Notamacropus eugenii: one gene and its partner. The protein of the gene in region 1 binds, or shares a complex with, the protein of each later gene. Links are inferred from orthologs where the notes say so. Each region holds a gene or a part of one and is shown on either strand. Other genes may lie near its edges. The genes, in order: ITGB7 and ITGAE.

Evidence for each region.
Region 2: the proteins of ITGB7 (region 1) and ITGAE are in contact, whole or in part, in a cryo-EM structure (PDB 8ZJF), measured with the Homo sapiens proteins. The link is inferred for Notamacropus eugenii from reciprocal best matches to the Homo sapiens genes ITGB7 and ITGAE. Residues at the interface, in NP_000880.1 of Homo sapiens: Val201, Leu202, Pro203, Ser206, Thr207, Val208, Pro209, Ser210, Lys211, Arg213, His214, Cys216, Pro217, Arg219, Leu220, Glu221, Arg222, Leu255, Asp256, Ser257, Pro258, Thr291, Phe292, His293, Thr294, Ala295, Gly296, Asp297, Lys299, Leu300; in NP_002199.3 of Homo sapiens: Phe36, Leu38, Arg91, His92, Arg93, Gly94, Leu111, Arg113, Leu118, Ser119, Ser120, Leu122, Glu196, Glu198, Arg230, Tyr233, Glu234, Phe237, Glu238, Cys239, Asn240, Ser259, Gln260, Val262, Met263, Leu266, Arg300, Leu401, Gln403, Phe406.

What each region holds. Positions count from the first base shown.
Region 1 is NC_092874.1:226,141,519-226,150,206, forward strand, and holds the start of ITGB7 (integrin beta-7), read right to left. Parts: upstream 3,460-8,688; 5' UTR 3,390-3,459; intron 962-3,389; 5' UTR 959-961; coding exon 752-958; intron 372-751; coding exon 170-371; intron 7-169; coding exon 1-6. Other genes in the region: RARG (retinoic acid receptor gamma), read right to left, coding at 6,208-6,407, 7,574-7,732, 8,092-8,296. UniProt on the Homo sapiens protein: Integrin ITGA4/ITGB7 (alpha-4/beta-7) (Peyer patches-specific homing receptor LPAM-1) is an adhesion molecule that mediates lymphocyte migration and homing to gut-associated lymphoid tissue (GALT).
Region 2 is NC_092877.1:388,322,030-388,331,638, reverse strand, and holds the start of ITGAE (integrin alpha-E), read left to right. Parts: upstream 1-5,421; 5' UTR 5,422-5,805; coding exon 5,806-6,001; intron 6,002-9,609. UniProt on the Homo sapiens protein: Integrin alpha-E/beta-7 is a receptor for E-cadherin. It mediates adhesion of intra-epithelial T-lymphocytes to epithelial cell monolayers.

The DNA of each region.
Region 1 (8,688 bases):
TCTCGCCTGTGGGTGGGGTCCCGGCCAGACCGGGGGACGGTCATCATCCCTTCCAAGTGCTCGCGGGCCGGGCCAGGCTTCCCAGCCCAGCTCCGTAGGGTTGGGATCCCTTCTCCTGCCCTCCAGCCGCCCCCAGCCCAGTCCGTCCCTCCCTCGCCCCCAGGCTCACCCGGCCGCAGCTTAACCCGCACCCTCTGCGGGGCCAGCTGCGTGGCGTCGTCGCCCTCTGCGCCCTGGCTGAGGGGCTCATCTTGTAGCACGTCCTGCTGTCCTCGGGGCTCCTCCAGCTCGTCGGAGGGGCAGCCCCGGGCCAGCAGCTCCCCACGCCGGGCGCACCGCCGCCCCTCAGCCTCCCCTACCGCGGTGAAGTTCTGGGGGCCGGGAGAGAAGCCGGTTAGGGAGCCACGTGCGTCCCACCCTGTCCGGCATCCGATCCAGCATCCCCGGCGTCCTTCATTCTCCGTGAATCCTTAGTTGCACTCTCTCCCAGGCCTGACTTCGCAGTTTCTCAATGCAAAAGCCCTGGACTCCCTTCCCCATCCTACGGTCCCCTCCCTGCGTACAGAGCTTCCAAACCACGGCCCAAGGTCCAGGCCCTCAAACTTCCTGTACAGAGCCCGAGGTGACACGCAAAAAAGAAAGCCGGGCCCCCACTGCCACGCACAGCACCCACCACACACACACACACTCAGTCACTTGTGCCATACGCAGACCCAGACTCATCCAATCACAGCCCAGAATGCCCCCTCACCAGTTGCTTGCACCAGGCGCAGCTGTGGTGGGAAAGGATGCATTCTCTACAGGAGGAGACTGATTGGCAGGCCCCAGAAGGTGACGGATCAGTATCTTCTTCCTCCAGGGTGTCATCTGTAGATAGGACCCTGGCATCTGGCTTCTTCTGGCCACTACTCAAAGCCAGCAGAAGCCCTAGGGATATTGCAAAAGCTCCAGCTCTCATAGCCTACAATGGAAAGCAGGTGAAAGGTCTGAAAGTGCTACAGTGGGTCAACTTTTCCCGTGAGTCTTTAAACTTAGCCTGTGGTCTCCAGTCCAAACCCCACCCCATCTCCTTATCTCCACACCCCAGAGTTTCACTTCCCCCTATAGAGTCAGTAGTTCTTTAAGATTTGGAGGGGGCCGAGGTCAGAGATGCACAGAGGGAGGACAGACTGCCTTAGGTTCCTGAAGGAGAGAGGAACCGGGATCTCAACTCCAGACTATTCAGTAAGGTCAGAACAGATTAGTTTTCCACCTTCAGAAAAGTGAAAGAATTGAAACTCAGATCTGCATTCAAGGAGGGAGTGTGATATCATTGAAAGAGCATGAGATCAAGAGTCCAAAGAGCTGGGTTCAGAGCCAGTTAAGCTGTGAGAAACTGCAAATTATTGGCTTCTCTGGATCTCACTTGCCTCACTGCAAATCAGTTGATAAGTCAAACATTTATTAAGCACCCACCCGGTGTACAGAGCCCTGGGGAACTAAAAAATCACCTATTTCCAAACCTGGCTGCTTGTGATCTAGTAGAAAATGAGAGGCTAGGATTAGATAATCTGAAAGATCCCTTTCCAGCTGTGACATTCAGGGATTGGAGGGATTGTCAAAGACATGCAGGTATTAGGATGGAAGAGAAGGCTAGTGGTAGGGGGAGGGAAGGCAGATGGGAGGGATTGGGGAAAATAGGGTATATGGAAGAAACAGAGAGAAGGGAATGCTCCTGAGGACTGAACGGAGCAGGAGAATCAAGCTTAAACTTTCTAAGGATCTGGGGTGGGAGAAGGAAGGGTTGAGAGTTAGGAAACTACTCTCTCCTACCCCAGAGGAGGCTTTAAGGGTTATGTGACCTGAAGGCCAGATTGTAGCCGATATGAAATCTGGAGGGCCAGATTTCTAGCCATACAAATGCAGACGAGGTATCTGTGCGCCCTTTTTCCAGGGTAACTGCAGGCCAGAGCGAAGTGAGCCCAGGAATATGGGGAAGGGGTGAAAAAGAGGCAGGGGGATAGAGTTGCTTCCCCTTTTCTCTCCATCCCCCAAGCTCTAGAGTTAGGCAGTGTACTGAATCTGAACCGCCACCAGCACCCCATTTTACTAGGGTATGTGCTTTGAGGGGCCTAGGGCTTAGAGCTTCAGTCTAACCTCGTTTCTGTGTGGTTAATGTATGTGTTTGTGGGGGGAGAGATGAGCACCTTTCCTGGCTCTGACTCATTTCCTACAGAGCTCAGGGCCTCCACCCTTCTCGAACCCCTAGTCCCAGGGACAAACTCAAAAACACAGTTTGTAATCTTCACCTTCCTCTTATCCCTTTTGGTGGGGGAGATTAGTGGTCTTCCCACTGAGCCCCATCCTCCAATTTCTCTTCCACCCTACTCTGCCCTTTTTTCCCCTCAAATCCCTCTTTCTTTTACTCCATTACCTTTTCACATTTTTACTGGCTCTCTCTCTGTAACAGTCTCTCCCCCCACCAATCCTCCCTCTTCCTTTCTTCCTCCTACTGCTCCCTCCTCACTGTCCTTCCTAATCCTAACCCCCATCATCAAAGTCCAAGTTATGTCTTTCCTCCATAACCCTAACTGGCTCCCTCCATTTCTCTTTACTATTTCTTCTCTCTTACATTTACTTTCTCTTCCCATCTGAGTGTCCCTTAGTCTTCTCTTTCTCCTCTAGTCTCTTCCCATTTTTCTGATTTCTGTAGGTCCTAACCCAGGGCCTTAAATCATATTCGCCCTAAAGTACACAATCCTCTTGTTATTTCCTTCTTTCCCACACACTGGTAGGAAAACAAAAGCCTAGAACACAGATGCCCTTGTCCCAAGTTACCTTCCTGCTTTGGTACCGATGCCTCTGTTCACAACCGTACAGGGTTGTACCGTTGATGGACACTAGGAGAAGATGGGACCAATGCCTATTGGTCACCCAAGTCTGTTTACCCTCTTTTCCCTAGAGAACATATGCTCATTTGGGAGTCTGAGTTGGGAGAGCTAAACAGATATTAGAAACAAGATGTGCTGAGTTGGGACCCAGGGAGAAAAAAGAATTGCAATGAACTTTGGGGTACTAAAGAAGTCCCTTCCTTTTCTCTCCCCTCTGTCCTCCCTCAGTGCTCTGCCGAGAAAAAATGAGATCAGAAAGGCAAGTGTGCATGAAGTTATGGGGTCAGGGCTTTACGGGTCCCTTCAGGAGCAGAACAGTCATCTTAAAACCTAGACAAGGCTCCGGAATCTTCCCTTACTCCTTCCTGACCATGGGACTCAGAAGGTCCTCAGGCTGGGTAGCCCAGGGGTCCAGCCTCCCTGGTTCAAAAACTTTCCCTTTCCCATAGGAGGAGTGGAGGACGGAGTCCGAACTTGGAGGGAGCTACAGGTAGGGGGATTGGGTTCTCCAGTACTCACAGGTGCAGAGCTCTCTCTCTTGCAGTATCCGCTTTTGTGCTATTTGCATCTGCCGAGGGGCAGACTTGGGAGGAAGTGACACACCCAAAGTTGGAGGGGGAACTTGGGGGGGGGAATATGTGCGAGTGTGCAAGGTTGGGGGAAGGGAGGATGGCTAGAAGATACAGAGACAGGGAAGACACATGAAGGAGGGGCAGTAAAAAAGATGGGAAAGCCGAGGAGAAACTGGGGGGTAGTGTTGGTTGGGAGTCATTGAAGAGAGAGAAGGGAGGGATGGAGATACCTAGGGTAAATCTGGAGAAGGCAGAATGGGAAATGACGATGATGGAAGGGCTGTAGGGACTGGAGATCAGAAAAGTGAATGATGGGGGAACAAGAAAAGGACAAGATGGGGAGAAAAGATCTACAACTAAGGGGTATGGATTGAATGAGCATGGCAAGGCTGGCCTTGGGTTCACAGTTAGGGAGGAACCAGGACCAAGGGAAACCTCACAAAAGCAGTTTGGTGGTGCAGTTCATAGAGTAACAGGCCCTATATTGTCAGGAGGACCGGACACTTACTATAGCCAATGTGACCCTGGGCAAGTCCCTTAACCCGGATTGCCCCCCCCAAAAAAATTAAAAAATAAAGTTAAAAAAAAAGAAACTTCATTGTTTTGTCTGCGGTAGAAAGCAACATCGAGGAACTAGGGAGTATGAGATCAAACATTAGGAATGGGAAATGTGTTGGGGTGACTCTTTGCCTAAATCCTTCCCTTTCCCCATCCTATAGATACTAAGTAAACAAAGAGTAGCCTGGAAGTAGGAAGCCTGGAAGGAAAAGACGATGATCTGCTAGAGTTTGAGGAAGCTGCCCCCTAATCATCAACCCTCCTAAGAGAGAGGCAACTGATCCCCATGTCATCCACTCCAGCCTTCACTCTTCAGTAGTTTCCTCTCCAGGTCCCACTTTCTCCTGATTCTTGATTGCTTAGTTCACAGCTCTCCACTTGTGACCTGTTCTCTTTCCTGTATCTCCCCACTCCTGGCACTGACTTTTCTGAAAAGATCCAACCCCCCAATTCCTCAGTTTAGGGCGAGGTGTGTGTGTGTGATAGGAGACACATGGTCCAAGCTTAATTTTAACCTCGGACAAACCATTACCCCACCACCCCTACCCCGACCTATTTTCTCTTCTGCTGAGGATCTCAAAAAGGCTCTTCCAGATTTAGATCTAAGATGCTAAGGCTCTAAGGTTGTCTGAGGAATGCTTTGGAGGGAGAACAGGCTGAGTGAAGCACACATAGCCACACCCTCTAGTGGCCACAGAAGATATAGGCCCAGGTAGGAGAGGGGTGGATCTACCTGGTCCACACACCAATCCCTCCCTCTTCCCAGCTAAGAGTCCCAATATGGTTTCCAGATCTCATTCCCTTTGGCTGTATTCTCACATATCTGCCTGGGGGGGGAGGGGAGGAGAATGAGGACAAAGCCTGGAAGGGGGGAAGGGGAGGGTGGGAGAAGGGAAAGAGCACCTGGCAGACCACTAGCCCTCACTTTAGGCCTTCAGGCAAGTCCTACTAGCCTCCCTCAATTCCACCTCCCCACCCAGAAGAAGTCAGATCCCATGAGTTTCCATCACTTTATTTTGCAAAAATAGAAAACTCAGCAATATGCGATACAGCGGGAGGGAAGGGGGATGTAAACAAAGGGGGGGGAGGGGACAGCACCCAGCCCCCCCAGAGAAAAAGGGGGGCCAGTGGGAATTTTATTTGGCAGCTAAATACAAACCAGGGGTTGGGAATCAGAAGGGGCCCTGGGCTCCACCCCCAGAACCCCCAGGGGGATGGGGGGTAATTCCAGGGTGTAAACAAAAGCTAATAAATAAATAAGAGGCTTCCTCTGGGTAGGGTAAGGATCAGCTAAGCAGCCCTCCCCTCCCTGGGCTGAGCTGCTCTGGGGTATTGTGGGGGGAAGGCACTAGGGGTGGAGAGGGAGGGGCTCCCCAGGCCCCTCTGTAGTGTAGAAGGGTTCCGCCCCGATGGCTGAGATGGGGGGCGGGGGACACCCAAGGCACATGGTAGGGCTGGAGAATTCTTAACGGAGGATACTTCCCCTTTTTGTAGGGGAAGCATGGGGAAAGGGTGAGTACATGCTGGAGCCATCAGCAAAGAGGTGCAGAACGGACCTGCATCTGCCCCCCTTTACTGCCCCCAGAGGACTGGGGGGGACCAGCTACCCTCTACCCTGAGCCTGGCACACAGGGAGGCAGAGGGCAGTATGTGTCAGGCAGGGGGCATTGCACAGCGGTCACAAGGAGGTGGAGGCGGCTGGCCCAGCCCCCCTGCTCCTCCCTTTGGTCTCTAGTGTTCCTAATTATTCCTGGAGGTCTCCCCTGGCAGGGGTGGGGGTGGGGATGGGGATGGGAGGGATGGGAGACAAGGTCCTCACCTACTCAGCACCAACAAAGGTTCTCCCCCTTCTCCCTGCTGGAGAACTGAGGGATCCTGATGTCCAAGAGAGAGCTCCTAGATTCATAGCTGAGACCCCATCTCACCCCTCCCATTTGATCTCCCTAAAGTGGGAAGGAAGGCACAGGAATCAGGTCCCAGCCAGAAAATTATGGGAAGGAAGCCCAGTTAGGACTTGGTGAGGGTAAAGGATGGACACGTAGCCCAAGAAACTTTGGCAAAAACAAGGAGCTTGAACTGGTGCTGGTTTGGGGAATGGGAGTGAAGAGAGGGTACGTAAGATCCTCTCCCAGTCACTGGTGGGGATGGTCAGTCTGCTACCCGGGTATCTGATAACCCCTTACCATCACCACCACAGCAGGGGGAAATCAGGGGTCAGGGTCAGGGGCGGGGCTGAGGTCCCCATCACCCCCACCCCCTATTCCCTCATCCTCGCTGGGGGGCTCTGGTCGGGGGCCAGGCTGCGAGGAGTCGTCCTCAAACATCTCAGGGTTCTCCAGCATTTCCCGGATCAGGGGAGGCATTGGGCCTGGGATCTCCATTTTCAGGGTGATAGCTCGTTCTGCTCCTGTGAAGAGGGCGACCCCATAGAACATGTGATCAGAACTCACTGATTCTTCCCTCTGACCCACCTCCATCGCACTTGGGACTTCCCAGCGCAGACAGCCTACTCCAGCCTGACTGTAACGATCCCTCTGGCACCAGACACATTCCTAATGCTCTCACATCTCTGAGCTCTTATAATATTGACCTCTCAAACTGGGAGGCCTCTCCTCTACCCAACCCTATCTCTCTGCTTAGTCCTTCCTAATTTTGCTCTATAGAGGCAGCTGAACACTGGACCTGGAGTTAGGAAGACCAGAGGTCAAATCCAGCCTCAAACACTTTCTAGCAGTGTGACCCGGGGCATGTCACTTAACCTCAGTTTCTCAACAGTAAAATAGGAATGATAATAGCCCCTACCTCCCAGGATCAAACAAAAGAATATTTGTACAACACTTAGCACAAGGTCTGGCACATAGTAGGTGCTCAATATTTGCTTACTTCCTTCCTCTTTCTTCCTGGAAGCCTTTTCGGAGAAACTGTACCCACTTAACTTTCAGTGCCCATGTGGAAGGGCCCAGTTGCGCTCAGGGAGTGGAGTATATAGTGTAAAGAATTTGCTTTGGAATAAGATCTGGGTTCGAATGCAAACATTAACATGAACTAGTTATGTGAGCCTGGGTACTGAGACTCAGTTTTCTCATCTGCAAAATGGGACGATACCTGTACCATCTGCCTCGCATGGCGACTGGGGAAAGACTTTTTTTTCAAGTTTGTTATTATACAGTAGGAGTAGTGGTAGTAGTGGTGGTGGTGGTGGTGGTAAGTAGTTGTAGTTACATAGCACTCTAAAGTTTACAACAGGCTTTACCAATCTTATCTCATATGATTCTTATGATGACCCTGGGAGGTTAAGTATTATGATCCTGAGACAGGCAGAGGCTAAGTGACCTGCCCGGGATCAGAAAGGTAGTATGTGTCTGAAGTCTATTCCATTTCCCCCCATCAGTCAGGGTACCTCCAGAGAACAGGCCTCCTCTGAATTTCCTTCTTCTCTCCCTCTCCCCCAACCAAGGACAGAGTTCTAGGACAGAGGCTGGGTGTGTAGGAAATGTGGTTCCCAAGTGGACCCAGTCTCTCTCCCCAGTTCACTCCTCCCTCTATCACACCCTTCCCCCCTTCCAGGCTGACCCTTGGTACTGATGCCCCGAAGGTCAGTGATCTTCATGAGCATTCTGGGGAACATGTAGGGCTGGCTGGGTCGCCGCCGCCTTGCATACAACCTCAGAGCCTCCAAGAGTGGCTCCTGCAATTTGTCCACCTTCTCTGGTTCCTCTAGGTCCATTCGGTCTAGGCAAGTGGGGGAGAAGAGGCAAAAATAAGACAGAATATTGTGGGAAGGGATGGGAGAGGACATAGTAATAATGGAGGACTGGAGACATCAGGAATGGGGACCCAAAGGAGGGGGGACCCCACTGGGGGTGTCCTAGAGCAAAGCCTAAAATTGCTCATATTATCCCCACTCAGCCAAGGAAGAAGAGAAAACTTATAATCCAACCTGGTGGGAATAAGAAAAAAAGGGCTAAGGTAATCTCTCCCAGAAATAGCTGCTTTAGAGAAAAATTGGGCCTGTAGGGTCTGGACGGATAAGTGTGTCAGGAAGAAAAAGGCTATGGGAGGGTCAGTAGATACCAGGGGACATGGAGTACCTCCACAGATGAGGCAAATGGCACTGAGCAGTCCAGTCTCCGTGTCATCCATCTCAAGAGGCAACAGCTGCCCAGCAAAGGCAAAGACCAAGTCTGTGAGAGGCCCAAAGCCAGCATTGTGCATCTGGGTCCGATTTAAGGTGAGACCATCAGAGAAAGTCATTGTGTCCTGCTCCGGGGTATATCGAGTGCAGATCCGAAGCATCTGAGGAGAAGGAGAGGAGTAAGAAAAGACACAAGGAGGGGAGGTGGTTCAGGAGGGGTCCTGGCCTAACTGGGGAATGGGAGGAGGCTCGAGGAAGGGACCTGAGGCTAGAGGACAGGGCTCAGGGAGAGTGAAGGAAGAGGAGTATCTAGCACCTGTCAAGAAAGGGAGTGAAAAGGGCCAACTGAGGCATGACATCTGGGGTGGGGCAAAGGGCAGGGACAGTGGACACACCATGAACAACGTATCGACTTCGAGGATAAGTCCCAAGAGTGGGTATAAGTGGAAAGAAAAGAAACATAAAAGAAGGAGGGGTAGGAGCTAGAAAGTCATTTCAAAGAAGGCTTGAGGTGAAAGGGTTTGTCTACTGGTCAGTGATCAGTCCTAGGCAA
Region 2 (9,609 bases), on another chromosome or scaffold:
TCTCTGAAATCCACCTTCTCATTTCTTCCATCACATTCATATACCACAGCTTGTTCAGCCGTTCCCTGACTGATGGGCGTGCCTTTGATTCCCAACTTTGCTACCACAACAAGAACTGCTCTGAATCCTCTTGTACAAGTAGCACCTTTCCCCGTTTTTAAGAAAATCTATTTGGGATACAGACCTAGCAGCAGTATTGCTGGTATAGCCCTTTGGGTATGATTCCAAATTTCTCTCCAGAATGGTTGGATCAGTTCACACCTCCACCAACAATGCGTTAGTGTCCATTTTCCCACATCCTTTCCAACATTGGTCATTTTTCTTTTTTGTCTTGCTAGCCGATCTGATGGATGTGAAGTGGTACCTCAGAGTTGTTTTTATTTGCATTTCTCTGATCTATAGTGATTTGGAGCATTTCTTCATGTGTCTAGAGAGACCTTTGATTTCTTTGAAAACTGCCTGTTCCTATCCTTTGACCATGTATTAGGGAATGACTCAAATCCTTTCTCTCCCCCGCCCCCGACTTAATATTTTATTTTTTCCAAATACATGTAAGGATAGTTTTCAACATTCACTTCTATAAAATTTTGAGTTCTAAATCTCCTCCCCCCCCGCCAAGACAGCAGACAATCTGCCTATAGTACATGTACAGTCATGTTATACCTATTTCCACATTAGTCATGTGAAAGAAAAATCAGGACCAAAGGGGAAAACCACCCCAAAAAAGGGAGCAAATAGCCTGCTTTGATCTGCGTTCAGACTGCGTAGTTCTTTTCTGGATGTGGACATTTTTGGAGTCATCTTGGATCATTGCGTTGCTGAGAAGGGCTAAGTTTATCAAAGCTGGTCATGGTTACAATGTTGCTGTTACTGTGCACGATGTTCTCCTGGTTCTGCTCCCTTCACTCTGCATCAGTTCATGTCAAGTCTTTCCAGGCTTTTCTGAAGTCTGCCTGCTCACCATAGTATTCCATTACATTCATATGCCACAACTTATTCAGGTGGAATGACTCATTCTTACAAATTTGACTCAATTCTCTACGTATTTCTGATGTAATCTTTATAAACTGGGGATCCCAGCTCCTTCACACTGCTGAAGGATTCCTTGAGGCAAGGCTATGCCTTCCCTGAAGGGCTATTGGGGTACCCCTGCGGGGCCAGGCTGCCTTTCTGATGATACTGTCCAGAGCCCCCATTCCAGTGTGTTCCAGTGTTAATCATCTGTTAGGAGAGGTCATATCATTTAACTTTCTACAAAGAGATAGTTGTTGAGAAAATGGAATGAGAACAGAAAGGACAAAGCATTTCCCCTCTCCCTGCCTCAGTTTCTCCTGAGTTCCCTCACAAGTGTGGGGAGCCAAAAGCTGAGTAATTTGGCCCAGTGCCTGGCCCCCAGTATGTGCTGCATAAATGACCATTCCCTTCCCCTCCCCTTGGTTGTCTGGCTCCCTTCACCATCTATCCTGGTCTTCAGCCCTACCTACCCTTCCAAGCTGCCAAGATCACAGCCTAGCCTGACACCCCTTCCCCAAAGAACAGGAAGAAATACCCAAGAGGCCAAATTCAGGGGTCAAGATCTGTAAACATTATCACTTCTGGCCCAGTGGCCTATCAGAAGATTCCTTTTCATGAGGTAATTTTTTAAAAAGCTAACATTTACACAGCGCTTCACAAATATCTCATTGGCCCTCATAACCCTGAGAGGCGTGCTACTGCTCAGTTTCCCCATTTTGCAGACAAGGAGCCTCAGGCAGACAGTGGTTATGTGACTTGCCTACGGTCATCCAGCTAGGAGGTGTCAGAAGCTGGATTTGAACTTGGGTCTTTCAGACTCCAGGCCACGCACTCTCTCCACAGCACCACCTAACAGCCTGGACACAATACTCTGGCTTTCTTCGAGGCTGGCCCATCTTCTGTAGGAGATCTTGCCTGATGGTGGTTTTTTCCCTCCCCCTCCAGCTTCCTGTGCCCCTCTCCCAACTTTGTGGTCCCCAAATCCAAATGTCAGCCTTCACTGCCTCCTTATCCAGCTTATTCTGCATCCTCCTTTCTCTCTTGAACCTTCCACCTTCAATTAGTGATGAAAACATCCCTGGTTCCTAGTTTTTGTCCAGGACTTTAGGACCCATGGCAGTACTTTGTGGGAGCCTTGGGGTGGGGCCAGCCTCTGAAGCCCTCTCATGCCACATGTGTGCCTATGGAGACAGTGGTTGTCCCTCTGGGCTAGGAAGGCTCTGCCTGCCAGCACTTCTCTCTTCTGGCCCTGATTGTTACATCCTGTCAGTTCCCCCACACACGACCTCCTTGGAGGACCAGAAGGAGCCTCTTCCTGAGACAGCCCAGCTCACACCGGTATGGGGTGGAGGGGGCTCCTAACTTCCCTGATACCAAGGGTTCCATTCTCCCCCCGTTCTCCATCACCTTTATCCTCCATCATCTTTATCCAGCTTTCTGGCGAGGCAGGATTCCTCTGCCCCTTTCGTATCCTTCATCTTCTCAAGGAAGAAACTAGTCTTTCTGTCCTGTATGTTCTTCTATAAATTGTCCCCAAGTCAATTCCTGTGCCAGTTAATGTCTCCTCTATTCTCTTGAGTGACTGGCAGCTCTAAGATCAATCTAACCCATTAACATTTATTATCTTTTACAAAAAAAGACATTTACTGACTGGACAGCAAGGACAGAAATTACCTTCCACCTTCCTTTTCCTGCCTCATCTCCAGCCACTGGAGTGAGGAGGATTTGTGGAACAGGGCTACCCACCTGGCCACCTGCCCAACTGGTGCCTCCAGTCCATGCAAGGAAGACATGCTCACACTTGGTCATCCTCTTCAAACCTCAGGGATTATCCAAACCCAGTCTTCACCCCTCACCACCTCATTCATTCCCATCTCCCTCAATCCTCCCCCACCAAAATCTTCATCCTCCCACCCAACCCTTCCAATGTGCCATGTCTGTTCCATAAGCAACAAACTTTCCTCCATCTTAAAAGTATTCCTTTCCAATTCTTTGCATCTACCAGTTCTTACTAAAACCTGACTCCCCTTGATGGCCTGGCCTCCTTCTCCAGTACTGGGTGTGTCTTCATTCACTCCTCTGGGCTCAGGGTCCTAGTTCCCCATTGCCACCCCCAGGCCCTCCTCCTTCCTCCATCCCCCTCAGCCACACATCCTGGGTCTTACTGTCACCCACAAATGTCCCCCTTCTGCATCCAAAAACTCTGAAATTCCTTTATCTGAAGAGAACCTTGAATCCCTACCTATGCATTACTGCCATTGGCCTCAGTTCCCTCCTGGGCCATCACCCTGACCAGCGCTGGCTACTCTTTCCTCCCTTCCCATTCTCTGCCCTTATTGAGTGAGCCAGTTCTGCACTAGCCCCTAAGGCCTTGAACCCTTGGCCACTCCAACTAAGCAAGTGACAGAAGATAGGCTGATGGTCAGCACTGGAAGATGCTGTTATTTCTTGGGGGAAGTCAACAACTGTACCCAAAACAGACATGGCCTCACCTCCCCTCCAGTTGGCCCCTCTCAGGCTGACTCTCCAAGATCCCGAACAAACCAGTTTCCCCAGGATTGTCCAAGCTCGGAAGGATTCTGCCTCAACACGCTGCCTTGGGGCAGTGGGTGCTGGACAAGATATCTCAAAGGGAAGGCTGCCATGGTGGGGATTCCTTTCATGGATGGAAGCTAAAGTCCCTTCCAACTTTCCAAGATCCATCTGGTCCAACGGCCTCATAAAAGAGGAAATGCCCATTTTTTTTAGCCATAAAATGGGAGAGGGTGGACTGGATGACCCTATACTCTGACTATTTTAGCTTTGGGAGTTCCTTCCCCCACCCTCCCCTGTCCTAGTCACACCATATAGTCACCTCTCTGGTCACTAGGCGGCCCTAATTCTCAAATTCAAGATGATCCACCCTAATTTTGAATCTCTTCAAGGAGCAGGGGGAGCCCCTTCTCTGCTTGAGACTGACCAGGACCTTAGGCAGAAATCACTGAGTCATTGAGTTGGAAGGACCTCTAAGGCATCCAGTCAACAGATGGATGACCCTGGATCAGGGCATCCCTGGACAGACAAGAGTGTCCCTAACAAGGGTTCACCCAGACCCCATGGAGTGGGATGGGGGTGTGTATATGGAGAGGGGGAAGGATGTGTGTGTATGGGGGGCTCATCCAGACTTCAAGGAGGGGGAGGGCTCAGAAGTCTCTGCTGCTCCTTCCCCGCTAGGCAGAGGCCACCCCGCCTATCTTGTTCCACTCCAGTGCTCTTCCTGGGTGGATGAGGGGGACTGAAGCCCCTGCCCCCCGCCCCCCACCGCAGGAGGAAACAGTTCCCCCTACCCCCCATCTCGTTTCACTCCTGTTTGGGAAAGCTCCCTCGTGGTATTGTTGGTCTCTCTTTCCCCCAAGCTCAGATCCAGCCCGGATCTCTCCCCTTCTGGCTTCCACCTGGGACATCTAGGTGGTTCCCTGGCCCCCAGCCGCCCAGCCTTCTCACGCTCCGAGAGGCTCACACTTCTGAGGTGCTCCACTCCTGGGAGCTCCTGTTATTGAGATCCAACTTTAAACCCCCTAAGCCTGACTGGTAAAAGCGGAACAGAAAACAACCAGGAATCAAGCAGAGCAGGAACACCCTACCCCACCCCCACCCTCACCCCCTGCAGCCCTGGGGGCCGGAAGCCCCCGCGGTTCAGCTTCGAATCCCAGCTGGGCTCAGCAGCCAAAACGAGGAGCTCGGGCAAGGCTGGGGCAGAGACACCAGTGAACCCCAAAGGGACTGCCCGTGGTCGAGGGGCCACGGGTGGTGCTCCTGATCTGTCACTCAGATCAGGAGCTAATGGGCACAGACAGGCGCACAGGGCCTGGCCAGACTTGGACCAGCCCAGGGCCTGGGTGGGGTGCCACCCGTTATCTATCTGGCTCCTTGTGGACAGGACCAGGGAACCATGTTCTCCAGGAGTGCCCTCCAAATATTGAAGACAGCTGGCATGTCCCAGGAGCAGCTCCTCTAGGCTATAGCCCATGAGGGGTCAGGAGCGGGGGTCCTCCCTATCCCCTCCTTGAGCTCTGCTGCCCACACCCAATCCCCAGGCCGCAAATGAGGTTGTGTGAGGGCAGCCCCTGGTGGACATGCCACCTCCTCAGGCCTGGAAGTCAGGCCTCCCTGCCTGCAGTCCATGGTCAGTGAGTGCTGGGAGCTTGGATGACCCATACTGAAATGGGTCAGAGAACAGGGAGCCCTTGCCTAGGGAAGGTTGTCTGGGGAAGTCAGGTCAGGCTTCATGGAGGAAACAGGGGTTAAACTGAGACACCACATACTTGCCCAATATCCCCTTCAGAGACTTCCTAGGCACTGGCCAGACTCAGACACACGCAAGGCAGAAGGAACTGGGACTGGCCTGTACAGTTCAGAAATCAGTCAGGGCCCCCAGCTTGCTTCTCCAGACCACAGTATGAGTCTAGTTCACTTTGTTCAGAAAAGGGGACTTCTCCATCCCTGCTCCCTGCCTACAGGGGGACAGCTTGTCCAAGCTCATCCATGTCCCAATGCTGGAGATACTACCCAGAAGAGGCCCAAGTCCCAGCTCCTGCTCTGCCATGAGCTCCCCCAGGGGTCTCCATTTTTCTCATCTGTCAGGAAGGAGCTTGGACTCCATCAAGGATTCCTAGTGCTGGGGAAAACTTTCTGGAGGCTCTGACCTCGTTGGGAGGGTCTAGAAGAGGTGAGGTCCCTATGTACTCCAGGGCCTGGGTCCTCTCAGCTCCTGGGGCTCCCCTGGGAAAGATGAGATGAGTAGGGCTTGAAATGAAGACCCAGGAAGTTCTCCCCACACACATACACCCCGCCCCCAGGGGTTGTGGGCTCTATGTAGATGTGTGTTCTTGTGGGAGTCTACAGAGCTGTCCTGGGGAAGCTGAGGGGCTCCACAGCTGTTCCCCCTGCTCACCTTCAGCTCCAGCTGCTGCCATGAGGCTGCTATCTGCTCTCCTCTGCCTGACAGGTAAGTAAACTTGAGCCTCCCCAACTGCCTTCCTGGGGGGTCCCTTTAGTGCTTGCCTGGCCCCTCAGGGGGCCCTCTGGCCAACTGGTCCACACCTCCTCCTGGGTCAAAGACAAGAGGAAAATGCCTCTGGAACCCTGACTTCTGGACCTGGGCTCTGTAGGGAGATCTTGGGAAGTCCAGGAACTTGAATGGGAAGAAAATCTCTTCATTTCACTGTACCTGGCTTCCTTTGTGTCTGATGTATTTTATGGGGTGCCTTCATGAGAGCCCATTCCCAGGTGACCCACAAGAAACCCAGAACCCCAGCTCTTCGGTTTGGACTTCTCAAGACAGGGGAGCTACCCATCCTCCCAGGCTTCTCTGTCTCTGGCCTGCCCCACCCCTGGCCAGACTGTCTAAGTTCAGGCTAAGTGGTTAGTTCCTGGGGTCCTGGAAATGCCCCCGTTTCCTGTTTCAGCACCTTGCATCATGCCATCCTGGGTTGGGCTGAGGGGCACCTCCATCGAGATAGTGTGGATCTGGAAAATCAAGGCTTGCAGTGAAAATTGGCATGTCCTTTCTATGCTCCTCTGGGCTTCTCAGCACCAGTTCCCAAAAATGGATGGGGAGCCATGTTCTATGTGATCTGACACGGAGCTCTCTCAGGGGCAGTGGAGGTGTGCTCTGGAGGCTCACTGTCCCAGTCCTCCCCCACATTTGAAGCATTAGGCGTGCCTAAAGGCGGTGTGGTTTTTGAAGTCTGGAAAGTAAGGAGGAAAGGGCCTGGAGGCCAGGAAGAACTGGACCCCCAGACTACTGGGCAGGCTGCACTAGCCCTCTGGGCCACAGGTACCTGAAGGCCCCCTGCCCTGGCCCCGGGAGGTTCTGGTCAGGTATCTCCAGCTCTAGGCAGACCCCATCTGGACTCCCGGCTCAGGTCTGGGCACCTCCATTTTAGAGGGTCGTTGTTTCCTGAGAGAGCAGCTGCACTGGGTGGGAACTGGCTGGCCTGGAGCCCATGACAGCAGAGGATGGTTGAGGCATGTTTAGTCTGGAGAAGAGAGAGCAGAAAGAACCTGACCCTCAAGCCTTTGGAAGACATTGGCATTTGAGTCCCTGGGGCAGTTGAGAGCCCAAAGAGCTGTCACCCAGGGCTGGTTGTCAGGCTGATTTTCCCTAAGAGTTACTTGCTCTTGGAGGAGGTGGACTCCCCTCCCCTCCCCTCCCCTCCCCTCCCCCCAACTGGGCAGCTCCAGACAAATGATGGATAAACTCTGGTCTAGTAGGTCCCTGGTACATGTGGGATGAAGCCAAGGTCATTAAGGCCACTCTTTTTTCAGCACCTGCTGGGTTCCAGGCTCTAGGCTAAGCCTGATGATACAAACAGAGAGCCTTCTTACCCCTCAAGGAGATCCCAGTGAGGAGACAACAAGCAAAGGCCTCTTTATAGATGAGCTCCAGACAGGATGAACTTGGGCAGTCCCAGAGAGACAGTGCCTGGAGTCAAGGAGGCCTGAGGAAGGTTCAGGGGAGAAGGTGGGATTTTAGCTGAGACAGGAAGGAAGTCAGGACATGGTGATGAGAAGGGAGAGCATGGAAGGTGTGGGGGCAGCCAGAGAAAATGCCCAGAGAAGAGAGGAACAGCCAGGACTCGGGGTCACGAGCCAACTGGGAAGGGTTAGGAAGGGGGCAAATGAGAGTAGAGGGCGACTGCATCAGCCCTGGGTCTTAGGAAGACCAGGCAGTGTCGGAGTGGAGGGGGAGAGACCTGAAGCCAGCATGCCCCTCCCCACAGCAGACCTGCTGTCATCCAGGGATGAGGTAAGGAAGGTCTTCATCAGGGAGGGGGCAGGGCCAGAAGAGAGGAGGAGCCACTGGCCATGCATGACATGGGGAGCGTGAGCAGCCTGGGAGGAAGGCAGGTGATGTCTTTTATAGAGTGGGGAAGGGGTAGAGGAAATGACAGTGGGTTTGATTTTGGCCAAGTCTACAACACAGCCATTTCAAGTGATCTACAAGGCAGCTGTAGATTCAATTCCTGGAGGCCGAGGAGAGAGGTCAGGGCTGGACAAATAGATCTGAGAATCGTTTGCATAGAGATCACTAGAGCCTGGGAAGCCAGTGAGATCACCAAGTGAATTCGTCTAGAAGTAAAAAGCCCAGGACGGGACCCTGAGGGACAGCTAGGGCTAGAGGGTGCAGTGAGGAGGAGGATCCAGCAAAGGAAACTGAGGAGGAGCGAGGTCAGAGAGGGAGGGAGGAAGGGAGGGAAGAGGGAAGGAGAAGAGAGAGAGAGGAAAGAGAGAGACTGGCAGAGGCTGCAGAGAGGTCAAAAAGGCCCCTCCCAGCTTGGAGTTGCGATTCTGGAGAGGTGTGGGTACTGACTCCATAGGAGAGCTCATGTGGGGCCAGCTCTGGCACTACTCAGAGGAGAAGGTGGGCTGGGCCTTCTCCTCAGTGAAATGGCCATGTTGATGCCAAGGCTCCTCCCTTTGTTGAGCTGAGGGGCAGCCCTTCCTCCATCCATCCATCCATCAAGCTCTCCCCCAGGGCTCCCAGACTAGCAGCATGGGTGTAAAATGGCATCTGCATCTCTGGGGGCTGCTGAAGCCCAGCATAGAGGCCTGTTGTTGCCAGGAGCTCACTGCCCTCAATACATGTGATAGATGCTCACTTGGAGCATGCCCCAGACAGGGCTGCCAGGAAGAGGGTGATTCTCTTATCAGTTTGGGGAAGCCCAGGACAGAACTCATGGAGATAAGGAAAGAGTCCTCCCTTGTCTCTCTAAATCTCAGCCCCTTCTTCAGAGCATACCTGGAGCCCCAGGATGGTTCAGCCTGGCCTTCCGTCCCTGGAGCTTGGAGAGGCTTGTCAGGATAAGGAAGAAGTCCCCAACATGCCCAGGCTGCAGGCATGCCTCTGGGGGCAGGGGCAAGAGATGCTAGGCCAGTACTCTGCCTAACAAAGCCTCCATTCTGTTCTGGAGGAGCCCTTGCTGCAGACTGTTGCTCTTTAAGATCCCCACTGCGGGAGACCTGCCATAGGGGTGATCACCTGGCCCCCATTTGAGAGTTAGCCTGTGAGCAGGGACAGCCTCCAGTCTGTGGTGACCAGACAAGATGGCACAGCACTGACCTGGCCTGGGGAGCCCACTGTCCAACAGCCTCCTGAGCTGGCCAGTGGGGAACTTGGCACCCTCTGGAGTCAGGCTGAGAAAGGAGGAAGACTTGAGTGGTCAGAGAAGGCATGTCTACCTCTGACTCATTATGTGCCCTTGGCCAAGTCCCCGCCCTTCCTAGATCATCTAGGCAGGCCTCAGTCTCCTTCTCTGTAAGATGGACTTACAGTCCGTCCCAGACCTGCGTGAGCTGGGCCTTGAGGGATGGATGGCCAAGACTAGTCAGAGCAGGAGGGGAAGGCTGGCTGGCCATGGTGGCTGCCTCCTGTGGGACCAGAGGGGTCATCACACTTCCCAGCCTTCCTAGGGAGGATAGGGGGAGAGAATGGCCAGCAATCAGGCCTCCCTAGCTGGGCTCTTTGCCAAGTGCCCGAGATGGTCTTGCCCATTTTTGAGGAGCCACAGTGATAAATAATGATGGTCCTCAGTGCTATACTTATCCCCACTT